2 linked regions of the Drosophila melanogaster genome follow. The gene in region 1 interacts genetically with each later gene. Each region holds a gene or a part of one and is shown in the gene's direction. Other genes may lie near its edges.

The links. A genetic interaction does not mean that the proteins touch.
Region 2: of Arf6 (region 1) and conu, changing one enhances a phenotype caused by changing the other (phenotypic enhancement), as found in Drosophila melanogaster (one study listed by BioGRID).

What each region holds. Positions count from the first base shown.
Region 1 is NT_033778.4:15,320,685-15,326,031, forward strand, and holds Arf6 (ADP ribosylation factor 6), read left to right. Parts: upstream 1-1,816; 5' UTR 1,817-2,028; exon of another isoform or gene 2,029-2,057; intron 2,058-2,118; exon of another isoform or gene 2,119-2,346; intron 2,347-2,439; 5' UTR 2,440-2,457; intron 2,458-2,764; 5' UTR 2,765-2,799; coding exon 2,800-2,881; intron 2,882-3,160; coding exon 3,161-3,463; intron 3,464-3,517; coding exon 3,518-3,660; 3' UTR 3,661-4,806; downstream 4,807-5,347. Other genes in the region: CG8155 (uncharacterized protein), read right to left, coding at 1-1,204, 1,292-1,336; CG8157 (uncharacterized protein), read right to left, coding at 5,277-5,347. UniProt on the Drosophila melanogaster protein: GTP-binding protein involved in protein trafficking; may modulate vesicle budding and uncoating within the Golgi apparatus. Promotes cell movement and remodeling of the actin cytoskeleton during compound eye morphogenesis.
Region 2 is NT_033778.4:4,742,327-4,747,357, forward strand, and holds the start of conu (conundrum), read left to right. Parts: upstream 1-2,021; 5' UTR 2,022-2,075; intron 2,076-2,078; exon of another isoform or gene 2,079-2,311; intron 2,312-2,329; exon of another isoform or gene 2,330-2,568; intron 2,569-5,031. UniProt on the Drosophila melanogaster protein: GTPase-activating protein (GAP) for Rho1; functions with the ERM protein Moe to regulate Rho1 and control proliferation in the developing epithelium. Recruited by Moe to the cell cortex where it negatively regulates Rho1 activity.

The sequences.
Region 1 (5,347 bases):
GCCAACGGTAACAGAAAAGTAAGTCGTCCGCTTGCTGCGACTTGAGGTACTCCCAGAACTCAGGATCATAAAAACTTAGCGCCTCCGTTAGGTGAGCAAATTTCTGAGTCATTGCAATCCCATCCAGCATGAAGTTTCCACGCATACGTGACATTATCGCACAAAAGCAGATGTAGGCCTGTGCCTCGTCGTTCATGGTAACCAGTAGCGGGGAAGCAATGTCCGACATGCCTTGACAATATGAGACCGATGGATGGTTTAGTGCATATGTGGTGAGGATATTGAAAAGCGCAGCGATGTTCTGATTGTCGTCGCTGCCTGCATAAAATGGATGCAGGCGGTCCGTGCGGAGAACATCCTTCTTTACCATGCTCGTTACGTAAGCCAGTTCTCCAGCCACACTGCCTCGCTTCACGGCCGCTTTCCATGTGTCTCTCAGACGACAGTACTGCTCAGACTTTCGTCGCATGAATTCCATACGCTGGTGTCCATCAAGTGCCAGTCCGTTAGCGCCACCGGGATAAACGTTAAGCAGATGTTTCCACACAACGCGCCGCAGACTGGGGTCAATGCCTCCTAGGAAGATGACCCTATGCAACTCGTCCTTGCGTTGAATCTGACCAAGTGCGTCCAGAAAGAGCCGGAACTCGCTGTCGCACATGGGCGGCCGTGGCGGTAGATTGGCCATATGCTCCTCGGATAAGTTAAACGCTTTCTGCACTATGGAGAAGGTTTTCTCCATCTGATTCAGAATGGAGCTGCCCAGTTTGGTCTGCATGTGCTGGACATATTTCTGGGAGACTCCTAAGGACTGCAGTGGTGACATAAGCTCGCGGGCGGGTACAAAAGGTGCAGGAGTTGCGGGAGCAGGCGCTCCCGTTATGGATCTACCCGGGGAGGCCTCGGTCTCACACTCCCTGACCACCGTAAATGGCTTCACATCGATCTGCAGGGTGAGGCAGGGTTCTGAGGCCGTCTGAATGGAAATGTTGTGAATCCTCAGAAAGGCGGCATCCAGATCCCAGTCGGAGCGCACGGCCAGGTAGATCTCGTTGCCCGCCGGATCAAAGGCCTTGTACTTAATGGAGAAGTCCGACTTGACATCGAAGGCCTTGGCCAGCAGGGAGTACAACACCTCCAGCGTGGTGATCTGCGGGTCCACTGAAAACTTTCGCCACTCCGGCCGAGCAGTGGGTTCGCATTTCTGTGGGCGATTTCAAAAAAATTAGATTGAGGAACACAAACTAAGCAGCCCTTTTGTTGTCTCGCCTTCTGGCCACCTTTCACTTGCCTTCACTTTCACCCGAACCGCCTCCCGGGGGCAAATGCCAGCCATGTTTTCCGAGTCTGTTCTGGTCGACGACTAACTAAGTTCCATTGTACCTCTGAGCGATGTCAGTATCGTAAGTATTGCTCAAATATAAAACAATACAAAAGAAGGAAACTGAAATCAATCGACTTGATTTCAATCATCGGTTTCAGTGTGGCCGCCCTAGGGCTTTGTAAGTTCACCAGGGCTACATTAAAATACCAAATCACTAAATACACAAAACAAAAATTTTTAAAATTAAAAAAAATTAACAAATTGTTGAACGTACGAGGAGAATATATCAGCTACATTGTTTGCTAAATTAATATGAATAATAAATGAATATAAGAAAATAAATCTTTTTCAATTTTGAATTGCAAAAGTAATAACTTATTGGCCAAAAAATCACGATATCCCCGCCAGTCACCGTTTTTCATCTGATAAATTCAGTATTTTTGGTATTTATCCTCCGCATTCTTTGCATTTTTTAGCGTATTTTCTGGAATTCCCGAAGATCTTGTTCCGCTCTGCGCTAACGGGCACATTGCTTCGTGTATGTGTATATAAATACAAGAAGATTAGTGCAAAATTGTTGTTGTTAGTTATAGTTTTTTGGCCGCCGTGTGCTAGCAAATGCATTTTATGCCCCGGCCCGCGCACTTTGGCACTACATGTTAACGGATTTCAGGCTGGCGTGGAACGAATTGGGCTGGAAAGCGGTGCGTAACGGCGGTCGTCGGAGACTTGGGTGTGTATACATGTGTATGTGTGTTACGGGCGTGTTTGTGACGTAGGCAAGCAGCAGCGAGAGAGCGAGCGAAATTCCGTAGAATCCGAAAACCATCCGATATCGTTGCTCCCAAGCCGGCTTTACTGGGTCGTCGAGGGGTGCGGTGGCTGTTCAGGGGGCGGGGGTGGAGCGGTCGGATCCACCCGCCCATTCAGTGGAGCCAGCGATAAGCCCGCAATTGAGATAACTCTGCCTCAATTTGCGAGACACTATAGTGTGTTTATCTGTCCAATTGTACTTCCTATGTGTAAGCATGTGTGCGTGTGTTTGTGTGTGCGACTGTGTGCTGCAAGCTCTTCACTGATAAATTCTGCCTCTCCACTTTTTTCTCGCTTTTTAGCAACGAGCTGATGACAATGTAAGTGAAATTATTATGCAAAATAATGGTCTTAGCTTCCGCCGTCGTACAAGCTCTATATGGCCACCAAATTGCCTGTGCCCGCCGTATGTGTACATATGTAGCTACATTTGTATGTTCATATATCACTTACGCGCCTTCGCGCGACGGCGTTCTTATATCATAAATTGATATGTTAACTGCAAACTGTATTACAATGGCCCTATTATCTGGAAATTCACTGACCCTGCCCTGAATCTCGCCCAGCTATTCTTATCGATATGCTTATTTGGAAGACCTCGCCAACTCTACTCGAACTGTTTTTCAGATTGGCTAAGGTTTAATGGATGACACATCAGCACCATGGGAAAGTTACTATCAAAAATTTTCGGCAACAAGGAAATGCGAATTCTCATGCTCGGACTGGACGCGGCTGGAAAAACAAGTAAGCACATAAACAATAAAGGGTTCTCGAATTCGATTGTGGGCCTGATTAGTACCCATTAGTTTCATCAGTTTCCTAAGTGGAAACCAATCCCATTTAAAAAATACTCTTGAGGCGAGGCAATTATTGTTTTGTTTTTATTCTTATTGTACTTTGAAAAAATGTACAATATAAAGACCTTTCAATACGTACACCAGTACTATCACTAATCGAATTCGAGCTATTTTGTTTATACATCCTTTGCGTGTCTAAAGTAATATTGTTTTTGTCCACCCACAGCGATTCTGTACAAACTGAAACTTGGCCAATCTGTTACAACGATACCCACTGTGGGCTTTAATGTGGAAACCGTCACCTATAAGAATGTCAAGTTCAATGTGTGGGACGTCGGTGGGCAGGATAAGATTCGACCGCTATGGCGACACTATTACACGGGTACACAGGGTCTGATCTTCGTCGTGGATTGTGCGGATCGGGATCGGATAGACGAGGCGCGCACGGAGCTGCATAGGATAATTAACGATAGGGAGATGCGCGACGCCATCATACTGATATTTGCTAACAAGCAGGATCTGCCTGATGGTTAGTATAGTGCTCAGCCAATTGTTTCCATCCGCTTATTGTTCTCTCTTGCAGCAATGAAACCCCATGAAATCCAGGAAAAACTAGGTTTAACTAGAATAAGAGATCGCAATTGGTATGTACAACCATCATGTGCCACATCCGGCGATGGCCTGTCCGAGGGCCTCATTTGGTTAACGTCGAACCATAAGTTATGAGAATCGTAATCGAGCATTTTCTTATATGTATGTATATGGCATGTATTATTCGAAGCGAAGCAAAAGCGAAAATATTCTATTTTATTTATACAAAGAAAACCAACCGCAAGCGCATAGTAAAAACTCAATTCGTAAAAACGAACGTACATAAATTACAAATGTTAAAAATGGTATATAGAAGTCAGATATATATAGTAATTATATATACTCTCAATTAACCAACCAATATTCTCACTAGTAAAAATACACATACCTACAAAATAAAAGAAGCATCAAAATAAGCAGCCGGTAAATATCCGTAAAGTAAATTATGCGTGAAGCACAGAGACATAAAGCAAAACATCAACGGAGATTAGCCTTAAGTAAGTTTTTCTTGTAAATTATATTGATGAGACACGTAAGCAATAAGTTGAAAGCTTGTTTATTGCAACTGTTACTATATTTGACTTGAGCAAGGGTGTAACGAGTCTTAAATAAATTGTAAATAAATATTCAAATTAAAGCCCATATACAACAACAAACGAAATAAAAGAAAACACCGAACAAACAATTGAACAAACCTATAGATTGCTATTTAGATTAAAACTGAGTCTTCAAAATATAATGAAATAGTAACTGTGCCTTCCTCAATGTGTGTCTATGATCCCTCATTATTTTCCCCACTCCAACAGCTAATTTTCTCAATCTGATATCCTTCGAGACGAAGAAGGTCCCTGGATTTGCGAGAAAGGCATATTCTGACTTCAGTGTCAAACGCATTTGGTTTGTATTGTGCGCTCAATTTGAAAGGTAAACATGCCACATTCAGTGCCATAATTTGCAGGGTAAATGAGCCTGGGTATACCTGAGCATGATTTGTTCAACACGGCGTTCAATAATTTACCTTTGTTTTGCAATCATCCCCGAATTGTCCGAAAAACTCCTTGGTACATCCTTGCATGAATAATATAATTTATTTTTTGTGGGTGTATGTCTTGTTTTATACCTTTACCGTTTTTATCAAAACCAACCTATTCATAATACCCCGTAATATCTCAGTATCTAAGATTTTTGTTGCTGAATTATAATTATAAATTTTAAGTTATGAAACAAATCATAGGTTTCAAAGTTATTTTCTGTAAATATGTTTTTGTATTATTATTGTATTATAATAATAAAAATATATAATAATTAGTAGAGTCACGTTTTACAGATGAAAAGGTTGTGATGAAGATGACGAGTTCCCAAATAAACGTCATCTAGCGATCCACGAAGTGACGAAGCGCTTATTGCCAAGATAATCTTGTTAATATTCTCACATGAAGTGACACATCCTATGAAATTTGTATGTAGAATTAAACGATTCCGACTTAATAAAGTGTATATATTGTTAATATATATATTATTAGTCAGGATCAATAGCCGAGTCAATCTTTTCTGTGTGCAGAATCCCAGAGTGTAGTATTTCCTTGGTTTTGCGTCTCCTCAAGATGCGTGTTTGTTCTTTCCTTCGTTTGCGAGTTATCTCCAGGATCCGTGGTCTCCTTAATATTTGGTTCACGAAAACAGCAGGTATATGTTGGAAAAAACTATTTATTTTTTGTTTACGATTTTAAGACGATTAAGAAATTGGGGTATTAGAAGCGCCCATGATGTCCTCCATGGTGTCTGTGGTGTTCGCCAAAGCCGCCTTGTCCGCCACCGAAAC
Region 2 (5,031 bases), about 11 Mb from region 1:
TATAAGACAATACATCAGACGATGTTTGATCAGGGGATTTCGGAATTTTTAGAAATCACAGGGTGGGGTCCCACCACAACAGATTGATCGGATTACACCGAATTTTTTTTAGCTGCCGATCTTAGCAACATATGAGGATTTGCTGCGATTGACAGCTGCTCAGTTGTGGAGTCCTGTTGATCATTTTCCCGTGGTTGCGGCTTTTTTGCGCTTTGGAGATTCATCTTATATCTAAAGACCATTAAACTGTGAATTAAGCACGGAAAGAAGATCATCGACTCGGCGAAAACTATCTCTAGCTACGCCAAAACTGTTGATAAGTTCTTTCCAAGCCACATTTAGTTTGGCGCATAAACAATTTCATCTCGTTCGCAACCACAAGGCAAGCATCACAACAGTAATTTTAATTTTTACCCTTCGCTAGGTCATCGCTTGTTCGGCCATTAAAACCAGCGCACTTAGTATGCACCATTCTATCACATAGCCAACAAAACAATTTTTGGTGCTCAGGTTTTATAACCTGGCAACAATTTTTATAAAAGCAGACAACATTTACGGTTTCCATGTTTATCTAAAATCAGACCACTGTGCACGAAAACACAAGATCAAAACATTCTAGCGAGGTGTTAAAAGAACCGCAAGAGAGCAGTCTGCACGCTGAGAAATTTAGATTTTGTGTGGGCGCATGCAAAAAACCACACCGAACAGCACTGCGAACAACGTACAAAAGGGAGAGTAAACATAACACAAGGACGAAAAATGCAAAATACTTTGTATATTTGTTTAAACTACTGCACAAATCACAAAAGAATCACTCGCGAAGCGAACGGAATCTTTAATAATTATGTTTAAAATATATGATAATTAAAGAAGATTATTAAAAACCACGGCTTGTTTGACAAACACAAAATAAAAATCGGAGCGCAACTAACACGACCGTTCGCTTTGAAAGCTAATTTCAGAGGGACCTTTTCCCAGGGCCCTTTATGTTGGGACCTCTGTAATTTTAAGTCAAAAAAAAAAAAATTAAAAACTTTTTTATAGCTGTACTATGCAATTATCACAAAAACTGTGGATAATTTTTTTTAATTTTCCTGAAATATCCTTTAAGGTTGTCTAGCGTTCATTTTGGAACACCTTTTGAGAATGGCGATATTCCCTAAAAAGTTGGGTGCCTATTTTTAAATTGCATATTGTAATACTTTTTTGGGTCCTTCAAACTTTTGTCGTAAATAGATAGTTAGATCATTCTTTTCATAACATTCTTTTTTTTAAATTCACCTATAAGTAAAGACTAAAAGAACAAGTAAATAAGAACGTTCCCATGTTAAAAATTCTGCCGTTCCGCCAACGCAACTAACTCATCTGCGCTATTTTGACGCAAATTCCTTTACCACCGTATACATTATATGTATTCATGATCTAGTCAGTCCGTGTATACTTCGAGATCTGGGGAAATATAAAAGCTAGAAAAACAACATATTTCAGAAAGTTCTCGCGTCCATTCGAAAGGTCAACTAAAATTAAAAAATTATTAAATTAAATTAAATTATGTTTCGGTTCTTTTTAATTTAATTTCTATTGATATGCTTAAAAAAACTTGTCTAAGCCCGGAAAACTGACAAAGCTGCCATGACCAAACTTTACAATCATTTGGTTTTTAACACCGTTTGTTAGTGATATATTTTCACCGATCTATTTTTTCTATGATCTATTTTGAGACTAACAACTTTACAAACTTGCACTGCTACAAGATTGCGAAATTGTATGGCTAAACTGTCAAACTGTCCTTGGATCCAAGATCAAGATCCAAGATCAAGAACGAAAATTAATTTGCCTTTAATAAATATATAATATATTTAATATATATACATTTCCATCTGAGTAAAAAAAAAATGCAGTATCGTGCATATTTACGCAGAACGTCACAAATCGACTTTGAAAATTGTGTAAGGTTGAAGTTAATATGAATAAATCTCAATTCATTCGATTCATACATCAGCAGTTTACACAAACATCTTGATATTTGCCTTAGTAAATCTTTAGTGTATAGGTGAAATATACTGAATTTCTGTGTAAGTCCATTTAAAAATGCATACATATGTAATGCATGCATACATATATGGAAAAGTAAAATCAGTAAGAAAAGGAGGTACCATCTGCTACCCAGTTGATGATTTTTTGTTGATGAAACTAGTAGTTTTGCACATAAGCTGTGTCTAATTTACTTAACTTTTTATAATTAAAAAAAGTGTTTGTTTATTTTAATATGAAAAAACAACTAGATATGCGTGTTGTCATGGGTTCTTAGGTTCGTACATAGAATGTATGTTAATATGTCCATCCATTAACTTACTTATGTATGTATGTTCCGAGACCTGTAATGTAAATTGATATTTATTTAATATTTATATTGACGTGGACCATTTTATGATTAACTTAGCATCGGCAGTTCAACGTTTTTCATGGAATTCTCATACAGTGGCTCGCAGCTTATTTCTTTCAGTTGAAATCAAATCTAATTTTTTTTACGCACTTGTTTGAGTAAATTAAGGCATACGCAAGAAAGTGAGTATGTGTGCATATTTGTGGAAAAAGACGATTTTCAACCAGGTATCAATTTTCATCTTAAAAATTAATTTATTTAGAGATTAAAGGAATTTTGCATAAATAAGGGCATTCAACTGGGCCAATCAAGTTTTTTATATTGAAATAATCTATTGAAACTCAAACCTGTATAAAAACAGCCCTACCAGCATCAAATTAAAATGAGCACATAAAAATTAAAAGTTCGTAAATAATTCCTATTTTACTATTTTGGCAAAATTTAGCACAATTACTTTATATTTTGTTCTTATTATTTTATTATTACTATTTTCTAAAATATGAATGTCACATTTAGTCAAATTTACAAAGCATGAGCTTATACTACGTCTGCCTGCACACTGCCTACACACTGTAAGCGTTCTTGAGAGGTCCCCATACGGACGTGGAATTTGAGTGGAATATGTTCCGACACGTTATTTCATAACTCCACATAAGTTTCAAAAGTATTCAAGTCTTGTCCTGTAAGAACCCTATGAGGCCTATGGATGCATTCCTTGAAAGGCTTTTATATGTATTTCGAGTATTCGAGAATGTTTACAGACATGCATATGTGGGAATGGTCATCCTAGCTAATATAACGATGACTAGGCGAAGCTAACGACGCGGCGAGCCTTCAAAAGGCAGAGAACGATTTCGGGAGCTAAACGGAAAAATCCATGGAAGGAAAATGTTTTTACGACGACGAAGTAGAAGACGTGCCGGAGAACGACTATCTCGCCAAAACCCCTTAAACAAATATCCAATCAAGGATCAGTAAACACATCACAAAAAAAAAAGAACTCAGTCTCACATAATTTGGGGCTCAACAATTAATATACAACAAAATTAAACCAAAATAACAGAGTGTAAAAAGGTAGTAAAAGTGTTAAAAACAAGAATTAAAATATAATGAAAATAAAGAAAGAAATAAAGTATCGCAAGAGTTAGCAAATCCGGATCCGGAAAACATTGTACTCGATAACAGAAAACGCTTGCGAGAATTTCGAGGCTACGCTTACGACGAGTCAAATCGTCAAATCGACAGAAATTAATTTCTTCGCAGACAAATTATCTGATATGGATCTCGCGATAATTTGCAAAAACTGCAACAGGATAAGACCGACTTGACAAAACACATATATTGCAACAAAGAAACATGTTAGTCGAACCAAATTTGGCGAGGAAATGACTAACACGAAAGCGAAGAGTATGAAACGGACAATGAAATCGGCGAAGAAACTCAGGAAGATACTGACAATATCAAGCTAAAGTTAAGGGACTGCAAAATATATCTCGTCGGGTTTAGTAAATCAGACAAAAATAAGATCAAATCATCAGGATCGTTTGAGCAGAAACTCTCAATAGGCAGAATATGCCGAATTTTTAAAAAATTTTCTCGTATTAGAATCGCACCTCCTCGACTAATAAATGGTGTTTGATAAAGAGTTTTGCAAACAAGCTCAAGTTACAGTAAACAGTGAAGAAGTGAAAATTACAAAACCTATCACATCAGAAGGTGATATAAGTTCAAATCTCAAAATTTATATCGAAGATATAAATACATACGGTATGCCGAAATACATACGGTCCTGCAGATTTTCTTATGCCGAACGTTACATTTTTGACAATAAAACCGAACAATGGCTTGAAGACGGCATCATGGAAACATCCGAGTAGAGCCGTTAATATACATCGTTAGTCACTCACAACTGACAATTTCAATTTCTGAGAATACCTTTTCGGTCTTTCAAATTCGCCAAGTGTGATCCAACTTCATGTAAACGCTATCTTCAGGGATTTAACCACAAAGGAGTAGCTATACATTACGTGAAACTTCATCCACTCAGCAAAGATAAGCAACCGCTTCAAACCTACCATATAAATTTCCTTGGACTTCTAGAGTCAACGCAAAAGCAGTATAAACAGTTTTACCAGAAATCGACAGTTTCACAAAATTCTGCTGGCTCTATCTAAATCCAAACACCCAAATCAACATCTTATATTTTGCAAGACTTCAAGATCAAAGCAACATTTTTGGAAATAGAGAGGTTGAGAGGGTGAACTCAAAAGCTTCAGTTTTTTCAAAACTTGCAATTGACGACCCACTACATTGGCATAAATTGTCAGTGGCGTACCAGAAGTCATCAACTCAATGTTTGTTTGAAGCAAAAAAAGGGCAGGAAGATGAGCCTAAAATTGAATATAAGGATTCAGCAGATGCTAGAGGATAAAATGATAGAATTCAAGCAAAGAGACGTTTTCTCCAGATTCAAAACGAGAAGAAAAAGAGATACAATCTACGACGAGGACCATCCTAAAAGTACAAAGTCGGCGACATAGTTGCTATTAAAAGATCTCAGTTTTCATAAATTTAAAACTGAAACAATAGCCAATCTAAATAATTAAGGATCAGCAAGCACATCATAATCAGGCATGCTCTGCTTA